Linked DNA regions of Saccharomyces cerevisiae S288C. The gene in region 3 interacts genetically with the main gene of each other region. Each region holds a gene or a part of one and is shown on either strand. Other genes may lie near its edges.

What was found.
Region 1: mutations in MRC1 (region 3) and MEC1 impair growth when combined (synthetic growth defect), as found in Saccharomyces cerevisiae (5 studies listed by BioGRID, with this or other methods).
Region 2: mutations in MRC1 (region 3) and POL1 impair growth when combined (synthetic growth defect), as found in Saccharomyces cerevisiae (5 studies listed by BioGRID, with this or other methods).

What each region holds. Positions count from the first base shown.
Region 1 is NC_001134.8:501,928-507,267, forward strand, and holds the start of MEC1 (protein kinase MEC1), read left to right. Parts: upstream 1-3,740; coding exon 3,741-5,340. Other genes in the region: HSL7 (protein arginine N-methyltransferase), read right to left, coding at 1-2,360; cyclin-dependent protein kinase regulatory subunit CKS1, read left to right, coding at 2,927-3,379. UniProt on the Saccharomyces cerevisiae protein: Serine/threonine protein kinase which activates checkpoint signaling upon genotoxic stresses such as ionizing radiation (IR), ultraviolet light (UV), or DNA replication stalling, thereby acting as a DNA damage sensor.
Region 2 is NC_001146.8:425,681-434,696, forward strand, and holds POL1 (DNA-directed DNA polymerase alpha catalytic subunit POL1), read left to right. Parts: upstream 1-4,406; coding exon 4,407-8,813; downstream 8,814-9,016. Other genes in the region: 2-isopropylmalate synthase LEU4, read right to left, coding at 1-1,074; MET4 (Met4p), read left to right, coding at 2,055-4,073. UniProt on the Saccharomyces cerevisiae protein: Catalytic component of DNA polymerase alpha, which in complex with DNA primase (DNA polymerase alpha:primase) constitutes a replicative polymerase. POL1 has a role in promoting telomere replication during interaction with CDC13.
Region 3 is NC_001135.5:20,507-24,106, reverse strand, and holds the start of MRC1 (chromatin-modulating protein MRC1), read left to right. Parts: upstream 1-2,000; coding exon 2,001-3,600. Other genes in the region: MIC10 (Mic10p), read left to right, coding at 1-75; ADF1 (Adf1p), read right to left, coding at 182-523; FYV5 (Fyv5p), read left to right, coding at 126-584; ribosome biosynthesis protein KRR1, read left to right, coding at 728-1,678. UniProt on the Saccharomyces cerevisiae protein: Required for normal DNA replication. Phosphorylated in response to DNA replication stress. Phosphorylation allows it to mediate the activation of RAD53.

The DNA.
Region 1 (5,340 bases), on a different chromosome or scaffold from region 3:
GGTTCAAGCGCTTTAGTAGATTTGAGATCAAACATAGGCTTATTGATAGAATCTAAATGGTCCGGTTTGGCGGTTTCGCTGAGTCCGTGAATATCTTGTACGCTTTGCCAACCAGTTTCTAGATTGGATAGGAATCCCTGTTCTTCTTCGTTTTCAATGTCTTGGTCAAGATCAATTTGATTATCTAGCTTTTGATTGGTAGTCGCTGAATAATGTCGATTATGGGCTAAAGTTTTAGTGTCATCTGTAACTATAGACCTCGGAATAGTCATGCTTGCAGCAGTTACCGCCGAAGTGTAATTTGACAACATAAGGTATATGAAACTCTCCAAAGACCATTCATACCAAACTTTTTGTTCTGTATCGGAGTGTATCCGAGACATCAGCACAGAAAGTTCGGAGTCATCTATAAAGGATATTGGTTGCTTCAAAGGAAAGATAATTGGAGACCACGAGGTCATATTTGGTGTATGGTCACATTTCTTGATTAGATTTTCTTCTCGTCTGGTATTCATCAACGTTTCTTCGCTAAATTTTAAACGGACTGTGCTGTCATTGGGCAAAGTTGACAAGAATATATTGTTATATAAGTTTGCCGAGAAGAATCCGATAAAGCCATGGATTTCGCCGCGGTGCTTTATCTTGAACTCATTTAATGAACTTTGAGAAAATTCAACTGTAAAATCATCTTCGTCTTGGACAGTATCTTTTTGGGCCATGGGATGCTCGAACCGCCACACTTCATTTACCCTTGAGGATAATATACAGTATGGCACTCTATGGACTATCCAGGGCGCCTCCAAAGAGCGATTTGTTTGTGAGAGTTTTTGGTAGAATAATGGTGACGAAATGGGTGCTATGTATGAAGAGTATGACCTCGGTATGAAAATTGTGTCATTGTGGGAATGATATTTTTCAATAGACCAGAGACATTCTGGTGATAATTCATTGCAACCGAACGAACCCAGCAGTTCACTTATGCACAGATCTATCTGAATACGCTTTTCCGACGGCTCGTTGATTTGCCATTTGGTCATATCCTCCTTGATTAATTTCACTCTATTATCCCAACAGTCGAAATTTCTTTTTTGCAAGTACAGATATGCCTGTGGATTTTTTTCAATGGCAATTATAGAAACCTTACTATCCATAAACAACATTGATATTATCTTAAAAGTTCGATCCACTAAAGGTCCTCTTCCCGCACCGGCTACTAGGATCACCAACGGTCTCTTGGCACTCGCTCGAGGAGCAAGATCTTGAAGCGCCTCTAATATGGCAGATTCGTAAAGATCGTACTTCACCAAATCTTTTTCAAAAGTCAAATATGTGGAATTTAATAAATTATCTGAATGAGGTTTCAGAGGCGGCATTATCCGAGAGTCCTCTTGGAGCAAAAATTGGTGATTACTATTGGAATTTAATACTTTGTCGCCCTTTTTCAATAAGTAGTTTATATATTCCAAATAGGCAGATTCTCCGCCCTTAACATTATTGGCATATTTCTCCATCCCATGCAATATCACGCATAATTCATTACCCAAAATTTGTGAATCTCCATTAACCTTTTGGAACTTTAAAATCAAATTCTGGTTAAACTTGTGTAAAACGGGATAATCGTACTGATTACTGGCAAAGATGGATGAAGATACCAAAAGACACGAGACGGGTTCGGCTAACCATCTATTCAGCACATACGAAGGAGTCCTGGTTCTTGGCAAAGCCAAAGAGATAGTCAAAGAGGGATGATATTCGCATTGTTTCCGCACGGTATTCCACAGTTCCCAAGTGGCCAATGGATCGCTGTCTTCGTAAAGTGGCAGAGAAATGGATATGGTTAACGCAGGCGCAGCAAAGACGATGCGATTTTGCAGGAGCCTGTAAATCATCTGTCCATACAATTGCAGGTTGGACAGGTCCCGTGGAGGCGCCAATATTAGCTTATTGATTCCAACAAACCTCGCGTACTTACATTCGTTTAGAAGGACCTTTAAGCCAAGATCTCTTACATTTGGATCGCGACTCTCCAGCTCCAGCCAAGAGGATAACAGCCCTATGTAAGACGGCGTATCGTCATTGTCTAGCTTCTTGACGTTGAACGGGGGTATACAGATATCCTGCAACTGCGGTTCAGGAATTTGAAGCGGTTTCCAGTTCTGTATGGATTGTCTTTGGAAATCTTTGAAAACTTGCCCAACTATTTCCTTATATCTTGGCGTTGTTATAGGAAGCAAAACGTAATCATAGTTACTAGGCAGTTCTGGTGAATGACTAGAGACATTTTCTAGGAAACGTGACTTTTTGCTGTGCTGTTTATGATTAAAGCCTGGTTTGACACCAACAAATACGTTGCTATGCATATGCAAACTGAACCCTTTGTATATATAAAAATTATATGTATAAAAGAAGAGGAACGTCCGCACAATTCCACACACACACACACACACACGCTTTCACACACGCAATTTGAAATAGCTCCTATAGGGCTTGGGAATAGGATCACAAGTCACTCGAAATATACCATTTTTTCTATCACACATACACATTGTATAAAGCCATTTGTTTCAAAAAAATATAAAAACACTGCGCAGCGTGCTGTTTCGGGTTCCATTTGTGATTGTTTATTTTTCTTTTGGTTTAGCTCAGTGCAAAACGAGGGCTCGAAGAATTTTCAGATAAAACAGTACTCGAGCCCTGAGATCTGTTTTAGGGTCTAAAAGGCGGGTTATAAAAATATGTCAGGTGATTTTTTTTTCTCGTGGTATGAGATAAATAAAGAATGGAGCTTTTATGCATGAAAGGACAGCGGATGGCAGTAGAGCAGACATCAGTAGCATTCATTACAACTCTGTCGTAAGTTCTTGGAACTGCTGGCCGCGTTGGATACAACTAGATTGACACGCACTTACTCTCGTCTTACAGTACTATGTACCATCACTATCACGCCTTCCAAGGCAGAAAGCTTACTGACCAAGAAAGAGCACGCGTGTTGGAGTTTCAAGATTCCATTCACTATTCTCCGCGGTACTCAGACGATAACTATGAGTACAGGCATGTGATGTTACCTAAGGCCATGCTAAAAGTTATCCCATCTGATTACTTCAATTCGGAAGTGGGGACCCTGCGTATATTAACAGAAGACGAATGGAGAGGCCTCGGCATCACACAGTCTTTGGGGTGGGAACATTATGAATGCCATGCGCCAGAACCACACATTTTGCTATTCAAAAGGCCGCTGAACTACGAGGCCGAGCTGAGGGCAGCGACCGCTGCTGCTCAACAGCAACAGCAACAGCAGCAACAGCAGCAACAACAACAACAGCAACATCAAACACAATCGATTTCGAACGATATGCAAGTTCCACCCCAAATCTCCTAGCTTTGATATACTCTAATTACTGAAATTGAATTCCTTTTCAAGGCTCCATAACTATATGGAGCATACTATGTACTTATCATAATAAAGAATAAACAAACAAGCAAACAAAAAAAAAAAAAACTATGGATCATAGTTTTCACCAACAAGCATTAGAATACAAATAAAATTTATATAGTGAATATCCTTCAAATAAATTTCTTCTTTCCCTTATAAATCAAATAGATGGAACGCACGCTCCAAAACTAGTCAACTAGAAAAAAATACCCGCCGACGGACAATTTTGAAGAGAGATGATTAATGAAGACAAAGTGAGGCTGGACAACAAGAACGACATACACCGCGTAAAGGCCCACAAGACTGCATGGAATCACACGTCAAATATCTTGACGAATTGATATTGGCAATAAAAGACCTGAACTCGGGGGTGGATTCAAAGGTGCAGATTAAAAAAGTGCCCACGGATCCATCTTCTTCTCAGGAGTACGCCAAGAGTTTAAAGATCCTGAACACCCTCATAAGAAACCTAAAAGATCAAAGAAGGAACAATATCATGAAAAATGATACTATATTTTCGAAAACAGTTTCCGCCCTTGCCTTATTGTTGGAGTACAACCCCTTCTTGCTTGTTATGAAGGATTCCAACGGGAACTTTGAGATACAAAGGCTGATAGATGATTTCCTCAACATATCCGTTCTGAACTATGATAATTACCACAGAATATGGTTTATGAGGCGAAAATTAGGCAGCTGGTGCAAAGCATGTGTCGAATTTTACGGAAAACCTGCTAAGTTTCAGCTTACTGCACATTTTGAGAACACCATGAATCTTTACGAACAGGCCTTGACTGAAGTCTTGTTGGGCAAGACTGAGCTTCTCAAATTTTATGACACCTTGAAGGGTCTATACATTCTTTTATACTGGTTCACTTCGGAGTATAGTACTTTTGGGAACTCTATAGCATTCTTAGATTCTTCTTTGGGGTTCACGAAATTTGACTTTAACTTCCAACGATTAATCAGGATTGTTCTTTACGTCTTTGATTCCTGCGAACTAGCAGCACTAGAATATGCCGAAATCCAACTCAAATATATTTCTCTAGTTGTGGACTATGTTTGCAATAGAACAATTTCCACAGCCCTGGATGCCCCAGCGTTAGTTTGTTGTGAACAATTAAAGTTTGTATTGACTACTATGCATCATTTTTTGGATAACAAGTATGGGCTCTTGGATAATGACCCCACTATGGCCAAAGGAATTCTTCGACTATATTCTCTTTGCATTTCTAACGATTTCTCAAAATGCTTTGTAGACCACTTCCCAATTGACCAGTGGGCAGATTTTTCACAAAGTGAACATTTTCCGTTCACGCAGTTGACTAATAAAGCTCTCTCGATTGTATATTTTGATTTGAAAAGAAGGTCCCTACCTGTTGAAGCTTTAAAGTACGATAATAAGTTCAACATCTGGGTATACCAATCGGAGCCGGACTCGAGCTTGAAAAATGTCACTTCTCCCTTTGATGATCGATATAAGCAGCTGGAAAAGCTAAGGTTGCTAGTACTAAAGAAGTTTAACAAGACAGAAAGAGGAACTTTGCTCAAATACCGCGTGAACCAGCTAAGTCCTGGATTTTTTCAAAGAGCTGGAAACGATTTCAAGCTAATTTTAAATGAAGCATCTGTATCCATTCAAACTTGTTTCAAGACAAACAATATAACAAGGCTAACATCATGGACTGTAATTCTCGGACGTCTAGCCTGTCTAGAATCAGAGAAGTTTTCCGGCACTCTGCCAAATTCCACAAAGGATATGGATAATTGGTATGTTTGTCATTTATGCGATATTGAGAAAACTGGCAACCCTTTCGTGCGAATAAATCCAAATAGACCAGAGGCTGCGGGTAAATCAGAAATCTTCAGGATACTTCATTCAAACTTTCTATCTCACCCAAATATAGATG
Region 2 (9,016 bases), on a different chromosome or scaffold from region 3:
ACCGCCGTATGGTGCTCTTTGCGATACTGGGATCTTATTACAACGCTCAACCACATCTAGGACAGAGGTCAAGTCAGAGAAATCCAAATTAGGAGAAACACCTTGGGTATACATATTCATAGCAACAGTAACCAAGTCCACATTACCTGTACGTTCACCATTACCAAAGAGACATCCTTCTACACGGTCGGCACCTGCAAGCATACCTAACTCTGTGGCGGCGACACCGCAACCACGGTCATTGTGACAATGTGTAGAGATGCAAACCTTCTCACGCTCAGTAATATGGGTAGCGAAGTATTCAATCTGATCAGCATAAACATTTGGAGAGGCAACTTCTACGGTAGCAGGTAAGTTGAAAATGATTGGATTTTCCTCGGTAGGTTCCCAAGCCTTCTTAACAGCTTCGCAAATTTCTACAGCAAATTCACCTGGAGTATCACTGAAACATTCGGGGGAAAACTCATAGGACCAACGAGTGGCTTGTTGGGAAGGGTCATCCTTAGTTAGTTTCCTAACTAGTTTGGTGGCCTCTACTGCCTTGGAAATAGCTTCCTCTCTAGACATATTAAAAACAATTTCACGGAACATATCACTTGTTGCCAAGTAAGTATGTATAGTAGCCTTTTTAGCACCTGTTAATGCTTCCACCGTTCTCTTAATCAAGTGTTCTCTAGATTGGACAAGACATTGAATACTAACATCGTCTGGGGCGTTTTCTACAGCATATCTAGTGAAGTCGAAATCTGTTTGAGATGCAGAGGGGAAGGAAACCTCGATTTCTTTGAACCCAATATTGACCAGCTTGTGAAAGTATTCTTTCTTTTGTTCCACTGACATGGGATCCGGCAGAGATTGGTTACCATCTCTCAAATCTGTTGATAACCAACGAGGAGCCCTCGTGATCCGGTTATCCGGCCACTTTCTATTAGATAGCTTTGGAGCGTTAAATGGCTTGTACTTGGAGGAAGGGTCCTTAAGCATATTTTTATAGGCTAGCTTCACTGGAGGAATAACTCTTGAGGCTCTGGAGGCCGCATGCTCAGCAAGAGCAATAATACTCTCTTTAACCATGATTGTTCCTTGTCTTTTTGTAAGGAAAAAGTCTACAGTAAACTTCTAGTGTGAGAATCCTTTTTTTTCTTCAAAAAATACCCTTTGAAAGAACTGAGTCACTTACACGTAAGTTTCTTTTTACTGGTCAAGTTGAAAAATAACCAATAAATGATTATGGAAAGAACGTTGAAAGAGGAGAGAGGCTGACCCAAGAGGAGAAAACATCGAACCTACGCGACTCCATAGCGCACATCTCCCATGCGCCCGTGCTTATATATATATAAATATACATACACACATACATGCACGCACATACATGCACGCGCATGACAGTGACTGGCCGTTACTGTACAATTTTTTCAGCCAAGTATGACACACATTCAACTCAGCTTTTCTGAGGCCTTCTTTCTTTTCCTGCGCGTCGGTAGAGCGATGACTAACCTACTACTGTCTCAGAGCCGGTCCCGCTCCGGTAGCAATCCTGGGGCTGGTCATAACAGCCGAGTGGAAGTGTCAAAGCGGAGAACAGAAGCATAAGCTCAATCGCTGGACATACGGATGCTTATATACGTCTTATTGTCGTTGAAAAATATCGAATTTTTTACTTCATTTATCGAGGCTTCTTCGAGCACTTTTCCGCTATGGCTTTTTCCCCGTTTCCTTTTAATCACGTGCGCGGGTAGCACCCGGCACACAGCTGGTGTCTCGTCGCACATGCTATTGTGTGTCATCGGGCCACACAAGCATATTGCTTGAATTTTCTTTCATCGTTCAACTTAAATCCACCCAATCTAGATGTAGCCGTAGCATGTAATAACGTATATCCTTGTTTACATGCATCTGTGCCAGGTGAAACGGTCTGTTTGAACGCACATCATTTCATATATTAGTCAACTCCTGAAGGTCTTCTTGCCTGTCCGTCAACTGTTTAGACAGACTCTCGTCAATAAAGCGCACTTCTGATAAGCACTTTTATTCCTTTTTTTCCACTGTGAACGATGAAGCAGGAGCAGTCCCACGAAGGCGACTCATACAGCACGGAATTCATAAATCTCTTTGGCAAAGATACCGCAACACACCCTAGCAGCAACAACGGTGCTAATAATAATGGCATGGGGAGCACGAACTCGTTGGACCAGTTTGTGGCAACAGCCTCATCGTCATCTTCTCTGGTGACCAGCAGCGAGAATAGGCGCCCCCTAATAGGTGACGTTACCAATAGGGGCAACACTAACCTATATGACCACGCTGTCACGCCAGAAATACTCTTAGAACAGTTGGCCTACGTGGATAACTTCATACCATCTCTGGATAACGAGTTCTCTAATGTGGATTGGAATGTGAATACCACCCATAATAATGCAAACAATAATGGCGCGGACACTTTCAGCAGCATAAATGCAAATCCTTTTGACTTGGATGAACAACTAGCCATTGAGTTGAGTGCGTTTGCCGACGATTCTTTCATCTTCCCAGACGAGGATAAGCCGAGCAATAACAATAACAACAGCAATAATGGTAATGACGACCATAGCAACCACGACGTATTGCATGAGGACCCTTCTACCAATAATAGACAAAGAAATCCTCACTTCTTGACTCAAAGAAGGAATACTTTCCTAACTTCCCAATACGACCAATCAAAGTCTCGATTTTCGTCCAAAAACAAAAGAAATGGCAATAACGGCGAAACAAACAACTTTGGCGACAATATGCAAAATAACCATCCTTTTGAGCCAAACTTTATGGGAAGCCCTTCTCAGTTTCCCGCTGACGCAACTAATATGACATCAATCGACCATGGCGGCTTCACAAATGTTGACATTACATCAACTGAGAACAATACTACCGGTGACAATGGAGTGGATGCGCTATCAAATCTACTACATAGGACAACACACACACCGAACCGCTCCTCCCCCCTAAGCAATGTCACTTCTGCTCAAAATTCCTCTTCACAACAACGAAAACATTCGGAAAGCAAAGTCGATAGTAACAGCGATAATAACAGCTCCAACAAAGCCCCCAATATAACTGTTCCTGACTATTCAATTATACCAACCTCTGTTTTAGTAACTCTATTACCGAGGGTCAACGTGCCCAACGGCGCATATAACTCGTTGATCAGCGCGGGATTTGACAATGATCAAATAGATGCTATAGCCGCAATAATGGCGTATCATCATCAAAAAAAGATTAGGGAAAATAACAGTAATAATAATAAAAACATCAACACCAATGACAGTCAAGAGGCACCCATTCTAAAAAACATCAACGAACTTTTAAGTGTCTTAATACCACCCTCTCCGGCTGAAACTGCTGCGCCAACTACCTTATCAACGTCGCCTTCGTTCAATGAGCACGGTGTAGTAGCAGAGGCTTCTTTTCTAAGCTCCATTTTGGAACTGGGCATAAAGCATCCAAAAAGTAATAATATTCACAATCAACGACAACCTTCACGAAACGATCATAAAATATCAAGAGAGAGTGACGGTAACAATGGAAACGATAATGTCCATCATAATAACGCTGTTATTAAGTCAAGTACGACGCGTGGAGACGAAATTGCCAAGATACGATCCGAGCCAACTTTAAATGCAAGTTCTTCTGATCACAAGGAAAATAGTTTAAAAAGATCACACTCCGGAGATTTGAAAAATAAAAAAGTACCCGTCGACCGCAAGTATTCTGATAATGAAGACGATGAATATGACGATGCAGATTTACACGGCTTTGAAAAGAAGCAACTGATCAAGAAAGAGTTAGGGGACGACGATGAAGATTTATTGATACAGTCGAAAAAATCTCATCAAAAAAAAAAACTAAAGGAAAAGGAGTTAGAATCATCGATACATGAACTGACCGAAATTGCAGCATCCTTACAAAAACGGATACATACGTTAGAAACGGAAAACAAGCTTTTAAAGAATTTAGTTCTGAGTAGCGGTGAAACGGAAGGAATAAAAAAAGCTGAAAGCTTAAAGAAGCAAATTTTTGAGAAGGTTCAGAAAGAATAAAATAACAGACTATACAGTTTAATTATATATATATATATATATACGTGCATTTTTCTTAAAGAAATATAACTTTTTTCTTGTACTGCCTGCAATCTCTATTCTTCATTCATCACACATCTATTCAAACGCGTTAAAATTTTTTTGTTAGCCTATAAGTAAAACGCGTCGCGTGTATCCAATTTTACTGAATTAAATTCTTTACTCATTGGATGATATATATCTTCTTGGTCTAGACAACGAACACATACCAATTCAGACTCACGAGAAAAAAAACTGTCTTCACTCTGCTATTAGAAACCAAATAGTATCAAGGCATAAAATAAACAGTGGAAAATGTCTTCTAAAAGTGAAAAATTAGAAAAATTGAGAAAGCTGCAAGCCGCTCGAAATGGTACATCCATCGATGATTACGAAGGTGACGAATCAGATGGTGACAGAATATACGACGAAATCGACGAAAAAGAATACAGGGCCAGAAAGCGCCAGGAATTGCTGCATGACGATTTTGTTGTAGATGACGATGGTGTAGGCTACGTCGATCGTGGTGTCGAAGAAGATTGGAGGGAAGTTGATAACAGTTCAAGTGATGAAGACACTGGAAACCTTGCTAGCAAGGATTCTAAAAGGAAGAAGAATATAAAAAGGGAGAAAGACCACCAGATTACAGATATGCTGCGAACTCAACATTCCAAATCAACACTGCTAGCACATGCAAAAAAATCCCAAAAAAAAAGTATCCCCATCGATAATTTTGATGACATTCTTGGTGAGTTTGAATCTGGTGAAGTAGAAAAACCCAATATTTTACTGCCATCCAAATTAAGGGAAAATTTAAATTCTTCGCCGACTAGTGAATTTAAATCGTCAATAAAGAGAGTTAACGGAAACGATGAGTCAAGTCATGATGCCGGTATTTCTAAAAAAGTCAAGATTGATCCAGATTCAAGTACTGATAAATATTTAGAAATCGAATCATCACCGTTAAAATTACAAAGCAGGAAACTGCGCTACGCAAATGATGTACAGGATTTATTGGATGATGTGGAAAATTCCCCAGTAGTAGCCACAAAGAGACAGAATGTACTTCAAGATACGTTACTAGCAAATCCACCATCCGCTCAAAGTTTGGCTGATGAAGAAGATGATGAAGATAGTGATGAAGATATTATTCTGAAAAGAAGAACTATGAGAAGTGTGACAACAACTAGACGCGTGAATATAGACTCAAGAAGTAACCCTTCAACTTCACCGTTTGTCACAGCACCCGGAACGCCAATCGGTATTAAAGGACTAACTCCAAGTAAATCTTTGCAGAGCAACACCGATGTTGCTACACTTGCGGTTAATGTCAAAAAGGAAGATGTGGTAGATCCGGAAACTGATACTTTCCAAATGTTTTGGTTGGATTACTGTGAAGTGAACAACACTTTGATTTTATTTGGTAAGGTTAAACTAAAGGATGATAATTGTGTGTCAGCCATGGTTCAAATCAACGGTCTCTGTAGAGAGCTATTTTTCCTTCCAAGAGAGGGTAAAACACCTACCGATATACACGAGGAAATAATTCCGTTACTGATGGATAAATATGGACTGGATAATATCCGCGCTAAACCTCAAAAAATGAAATATTCGTTTGAGCTTCCTGACATTCCATCTGAAAGTGATTATTTGAAAGTCTTACTTCCATACCAAACACCGAAGTCCAGTCGAGACACCATTCCATCGGATTTATCTAGCGATACCTTTTATCATGTTTTTGGTGGGAATTCCAATATTTTTGAAAGTTTTGTTATTCAAAATAGGATTATGGGACCATGCTGGTTAGATATAAAGGGAGCAGATTTCAATTCAATTCGTAATGCTTCTCACTGTGCGGTTGAAGTTTCGGTAGATAAGCCTCAGAATATCACGCCTACTACAACAAAGACAATGCCTAATCTGAGATGTCTATCTTTATCGATTCAGACGTTAATGAATCCCAAGGAAAATAAGCAAGAGATTGTTTCGATAACGTTATCAGCATATAGAAATATCTCGTTGGATTCACCGATACCTGAAAATATAAAACCAGACGACTTGTGTACTTTAGTAAGGCCGCCTCAGTCAACTAGTTTCCCATTAGGTTTAGCTGCACTGGCAAAACAGAAACTACCCGGTAGAGTCAGGTTGTTCAACAACGAAAAGGCCATGCTATCTTGTTTTTGTGCTATGTTAAAAGTGGAAGACCCAGATGTTATCATAGGCCATCGTTTGCAAAATGTCTACTTAGATGTTTTAGCTCATAGAATGCATGATCTCAACATTCCAACGTTCAGCTCTATTGGCCGTCGTTTAAGAAGGACTTGGCCTGAAAAATTCGGTAGAGGAAATTCGAATATGAACCATTTTTTTATTAGTGACATTTGCTCTGGTAGGCTGATATGTGATATCGCCAATGAAATGGGTCAATCATTAACACCCAAATGTCAAAGTTGGGATCTTTCAGAGATGTATCAAGTTACATGTGAAAAGGAGCATAAGCCGTTAGATATTGATTATCAAAATCCACAATACCAAAATGATGTAAATAGTATGACAATGGCCCTACAAGAGAATATTACTAATTGTATGATTTCTGCTGAGGTGTCTTATAGAATTCAATTATTAACCTTGACTAAACAGTTGACAAATTTGGCTGGTAATGCATGGGCCCAAACGCTAGGCGGTACAAGAGCTGGTAGAAATGAGTATATCTTACTACATGAATTTTCAAGAAATGGTTTTATTGTTCCTGACAAAGAAGGCAATAGAAGTAGAGCTCAGAAACAAAGACAAAATGAAGAAAATGCTGATGCACCAGTTAATTCTAAAAAGGCAAAATATCAGGGTGGTTTAGTTTTTGAACCTGAGAAAGGTCTTCATAAGAATTACGTTTTAGTCATGGACTTTAATTCTTTGTATCCATCTATTATCCAGGAATTTAATATATGTTTTACCACCGTTGATAGAAATAAGGAAGATATCGATGAGTTACCAAGCGTACCTCCTTCAGAGGTGGATCAGGGTGTTTTACCAAGGTTATTAGCTAATCTGGTGGATCGTCGACGTGAAGTTAAGAAGGTGATGAAAACTGAAACTGATCCCCATAAGCGAGTTCAATGTGATATTCGTCAACAAGCTCTAAAATTGACTGCCAATTCTATGTATGGTTGTTTGGGTTATGTTAACAGTAGATTTTACGCAAAGCCGCTCGCCATGTTAGTCACTAATAAGGGTCGTGAGATTTTAATGAATACAAGACAACTAGCTGAAAGTATGAATCTTCTTGTAGTTTATGGTGATACAGATTCGGTCATGATAGATACCGGTTGTGATAATTATGCGGATGCAATTAAAATTGGCTTGGGATTTAAAAGGCTAGTAAATGAGCGCTATAGATTATTGGAGATTGATATTGATAATGTTTTTAAGAAGTTACTATTACATGCCAAGAAAAAGTACGCTGCTTTGACTGTAAATTTGGACAAAAATGGTAATGGAACTACTGTTCTAGAAGTTAAAGGGTTGGACATGAAGCGTCGTGAATTTTGTCCACTTTCGAGGGACGTTTCTATACATGTTTTAAACACCATCCTGTCAGATAAGGACCCAGAAGAAGCATTGCAAGAAGTGTATGATTACTTAGAAGACATCAGAATAAAAGTGGAAACCAATAACATTAGAATTGATAAATATAAGATCAATATGAAGCTTTCAAAAGATCCCAAGGCCTACCCAGGTGGTAAAAACATGCCTGCAGTCCAAGTAGCTCTAAGAATGCGTAAGGCTGGTAGAGTTGTTAAAGCTGGCTCTGTCATCACTTTTGTGATCACAAAGCAGGATGAAATAGACAATGCAGCGGATACGCCGGCTCTTTCTGTGGCTGAACGTGCCCATGCATTGAATGAGGTAATGATTAAAAGTAACAATTTGATACCTGATCCACAATATTATCTCGAGAAACAAATATTCGCGCCGGTAGAAAGGTTGTTAGAAAGAATTGATAGCTTCAACGTGGTGCGTTTGAGTGAAGCGCTTGGTTTAGATAGTAAAAAGTATTTTAGAAGAGAGGGCGGTAATAACAATGGAGAAGATATTAATAATTTGCAACCCTTAGAAACAACAATTACAGACGTTGAAAGGTTTAAGGATACTGTAACATTAGAATTAAGTTGCCCATCATGCGATAAAAGGTTTCCATTTGGTGGTATTGTATCTTCAAATTACTATCGCGTGTCATATAATGGTTTACAGTGCAAGCATTGTGAGCAACTTTTTACTCCTCTTCAATTAACTAGCCAAATAGAGCATTCTATAAGGGCACACATTTCCTTATATTACGCAGGGTGGTTACAGTGTGATGACAGCACATGCGGTATAGTTACAAGACAAGTCTCCGTTTTTGGTAAGCGTTGTTTGAATGACGGCTGCACGGGTGTCATGAGATACAAATACAGTGACAAGCAATTGTACAATCAACTTTTATATTTCGATTCTTTATTCGATTGTGAAAAAAATAAAAAGCAAGAATTGAAGCCAATATATCTACCCGATGATCTCGACTACCCCAAGGAACAGCTGACAGAATCATCTATTAAGGCTTTAACAGAACAAAACAGAGAACTAATGGAAACCGGCCGGAGCGTTGTTCAAAAATATTTGAACGATTGTGGACGTCGCTACGTTGATATGACTAGCATATTTGATTTCATGCTAAATTAGGTAAGTATTTTGTATGTGTTGTGTGATCTCATGAATATTCTATATAGTAAGAAAAGAATACAACTGTACATACGCATCCTACTAGATACCTAATGTACAGACATCGGAAGGAGCGCTAGGAAGCTTTTATTATTGAAGGTTTTCAGCGATATTCTGAGAATGTTTTTTCGGCTCTGGTGATCAGTTCTCACATGCATCATCCT
Region 3 (3,600 bases):
GGTGTTGGAAGAGGCTACGCCGAGGGCGACGCCATCTTTAGATCCAGCGCTGGCCTCAGATCCTCGAAGGTTTAGTCTTAAGCGACGATGCTTTATATATATTCAAAAAAAAAAATAATAAAAATATGCAGTACCATTCCGCTCTATATGTATATATTTACGTAACTTTCACCACTATTCCCTATAAGGAAAAGCCGGATATCATTTCGATCTGCTTCAGCATGCTGTCGTTTGTTTTTGATTTTTCTGTCCGAATTTGCTCTCGTACCTTGGAGTCCTTTTCCTGGTCCTTGATCAGCTCCTCGGCTTTCAAAGTAGTCTCAGCTTTCAGTTTAGCTGGCTCTTGTGTACTTGCCTCCCGCAGCAGCGTCGGTATCATTGTTTCACTACTTTTGTTTAACTTTTCCACTTGTAACTTTGTTCTCTTCCTTTCAGCGGTGCTGATCGACCTCTTTTTTTGTACTTTCTTGCCAACACCAACATTCTTGCCCACACCTTTCTTTTTCATGCTACACTTGCCCATTTTTTCCTTGCTAAATGCCCTTGAGTTATTGTACCTTATTATAGCAGGCTTGCACATCTGAAAACGAAAATTTTTTTTTCCTTATATTTCTAATTCTTTTAGCGATGAGATATGAAAATTTTCAAAAAAAAGAGATGATGAGGTTAACTATTGTAAAGTAGACAGCAAACAAAAGGGTCACACAAATATCCAAATTGGCAAACGATGGTGTCTACACATAACAGAGATAAACCTTGGGATACGGATGATATTGATAAATGGAAGATAGAGGAGTTTAAGGAAGAGGATAACGCATCCGGTCAACCTTTTGCTGAAGAGTCCAGTTTTATGACTTTGTTTCCTAAATACAGAGAAAGTTACTTGAAGACGATTTGGAATGATGTAACAAGGGCTCTAGACAAACACAACATAGCGTGTGTTCTAGATTTAGTCGAAGGTTCTATGACAGTAAAAACAACTAGAAAAACATACGATCCCGCTATCATTTTGAAAGCCAGAGATTTGATCAAATTATTGGCGAGATCCGTTCCTTTCCCGCAAGCCGTTAAGATCCTACAAGATGACATGGCATGCGACGTTATTAAAATTGGTAATTTCGTTACTAACAAAGAAAGGTTTGTCAAGAGAAGACAACGTCTTGTAGGCCCTAACGGTAATACTTTAAAGGCTTTGGAACTTCTAACTAAATGTTACATTCTAGTACAAGGTAACACAGTAAGTGCCATGGGTCCCTTCAAGGGCTTGAAGGAGGTCCGTCGAGTAGTAGAAGATTGTATGAAAAATATTCACCCTATCTATCATATCAAGGAATTAATGATAAAAAGAGAATTGGCAAAAAGGCCAGAGTTAGCCAATGAAGATTGGTCAAGATTCTTGCCCATGTTTAAGAAGAGGAATGTGGCCAGAAAGAAACCCAAGAAGATCAGAAACGTCGAAAAGAAGGTCTATACTCCATTTCCTCCTGCCCAATTGCCTAGAAAGGTTGATTTGGAAATTGAAAGTGGTGAGTATTTCTTAAGCAAGAGAGAAAAGCAAATGAAGAAATTAAATGAGCAAAAGGAAAAGCAAATGGAAAGAGAAATCGAAAGGCAGGAAGAGAGAGCAAAAGATTTCATAGCTCCGGAAGAAGAAGCATACAAGCCAAACCAAAATTAGTTTACACCGCTACGGAATCCTTCATATATGTCTATATATATATAGAAACACACACACATTTCGTTTACTTAGATATGTTTGTAAAGTGAAAGAAATTCTTACTAGGACACCAACTCTACTGGCTCTCATATGCAGAGAGATATACATCAATACTTGAAATTTTCCTTATCCTTCTTCGACGCGTCATGAAGAGATAGAATGCGTAAAACGCGTTTGCTTCAATAGCATTTCAAACACATTATGTTGGAAAAAAACCAAGAACAGACAAACAACTAAGGAAGTTCGTTATTCGCTTTTGAACTTATCACCAAATATTTTAGTGATGGATGATGCCTTGCATGCTTTGTCCTCGTTGACTGCAAAGAAGAGAACTACCACCTACAAAAAAGTTGCTGTTCCCATACTAGATGAGAACGATAATACTAATGGAAATGGGCCCAATGACATAGACAATCCGCCAGAGTTGACTGGGAACGGGTTTTTATTTGCCAATGCCACATTAAATCGTGTTAAGAACAGATTAGAAGGCAAGAAAGCACCCGAACAGAATCACAATAATGGAAAAGATAGGAGTGAGAATTCGTTACCAACTCAATTAATCTCTAATCTTTACGATGGTGGTGAAGAGCTGGAGAAATCCGAAGTTAAAGATAATAGTTACAGTGAGAAAAATGTCTCTTCTTCATTCACGCAGACGCAAAGAATACCTGTCAGCATCCAACAAGACAAGGTGTTTAACGTACCTATCCATTCCGTTAATGACGGGAAACCCACCCAATTAATCAAAGAAGATGGTCTCGTCAACGAAACTTCTCAAGCGCTGAAAACACCTCTCACGACAGGACGGCCAGGGGCTACACAGCGTATAGATAGCAGCGGTGCAACCTCACAAACTCAGCCTATAAAATCAATTGAACCACAATCCCAAATAATTACGACTTCCAGCAATCATTCTAATGCTCTGTCGCCGAAAATTCCTATAATTCCAACGGAACTTATTGGAACTAGTCCTTTATTTCAGTCCATTCAAAATCGTGGTCCTGACACCCAAATGGATGTACCACCACAGACTGCGCATGATGAGGATAAGACACAAGCAATTGGTATTCCACAGGCTACGCATCAGGAACAGAAAACCCAAATAGATACAGTCGCACAAACACTTCAAGATGAAGTACCACACACATTAAAAATTCGGGAAATACAAAGCGAATTGGCTTCAGAAGATTCTAAAAGGGAAAAAGCTAGAAATGTCGAATACAAAAAACCGCAAAAGCCAATACCAACCAAAAAATTTTTTTCTAAAGAGTCTTTTCTTGCTGATTTTGACGATTCGTCCTCAAATGAGGACGATGATATAAAGCTGGAAAATGCACATCCAAAACCAGTACAGAATGACGATGAACTGCATGAGAACAAAAGTGTTGAATTAAATCTAACTGATGAGACAAGAATAAATGAGAAAAGGGTTCCACTATTGAGCTCCTATGCTAATAATTTGAAACGGGAAATTGACTCCTCGAAATGCATAACACTGGACCTCGACAGCGACAGTGACGAATATGGAGATGATGATATGGATAGCATTAAATTATCCAAAGATGAAAGCGTTTTGCCAATCTCTCAGTTATCAAAGGCGACTATATTAAACCTGAAGGCAAGACTCTCTAAACAAAATCAAAAGTTGTCTCAAAGGCCGAATAAAAGTAAAGACCCAAAAGTTGATCATAATGTACTATTAAATACCTTAAGGAAAGCTAGCAGGAAACAAATTCTGGATCATCAGAAAGAAGTGATTGAAACGAAAGGTCTGAAGCTGGAGGATATGGCCAAAGAAAAGGAAATAGTAGAGAACTTGCTAGAACAAGAAATTCTTAGAAATAAAAGAATCAGACAAAAAGAGAAGAGAAGGGAAAAACTTG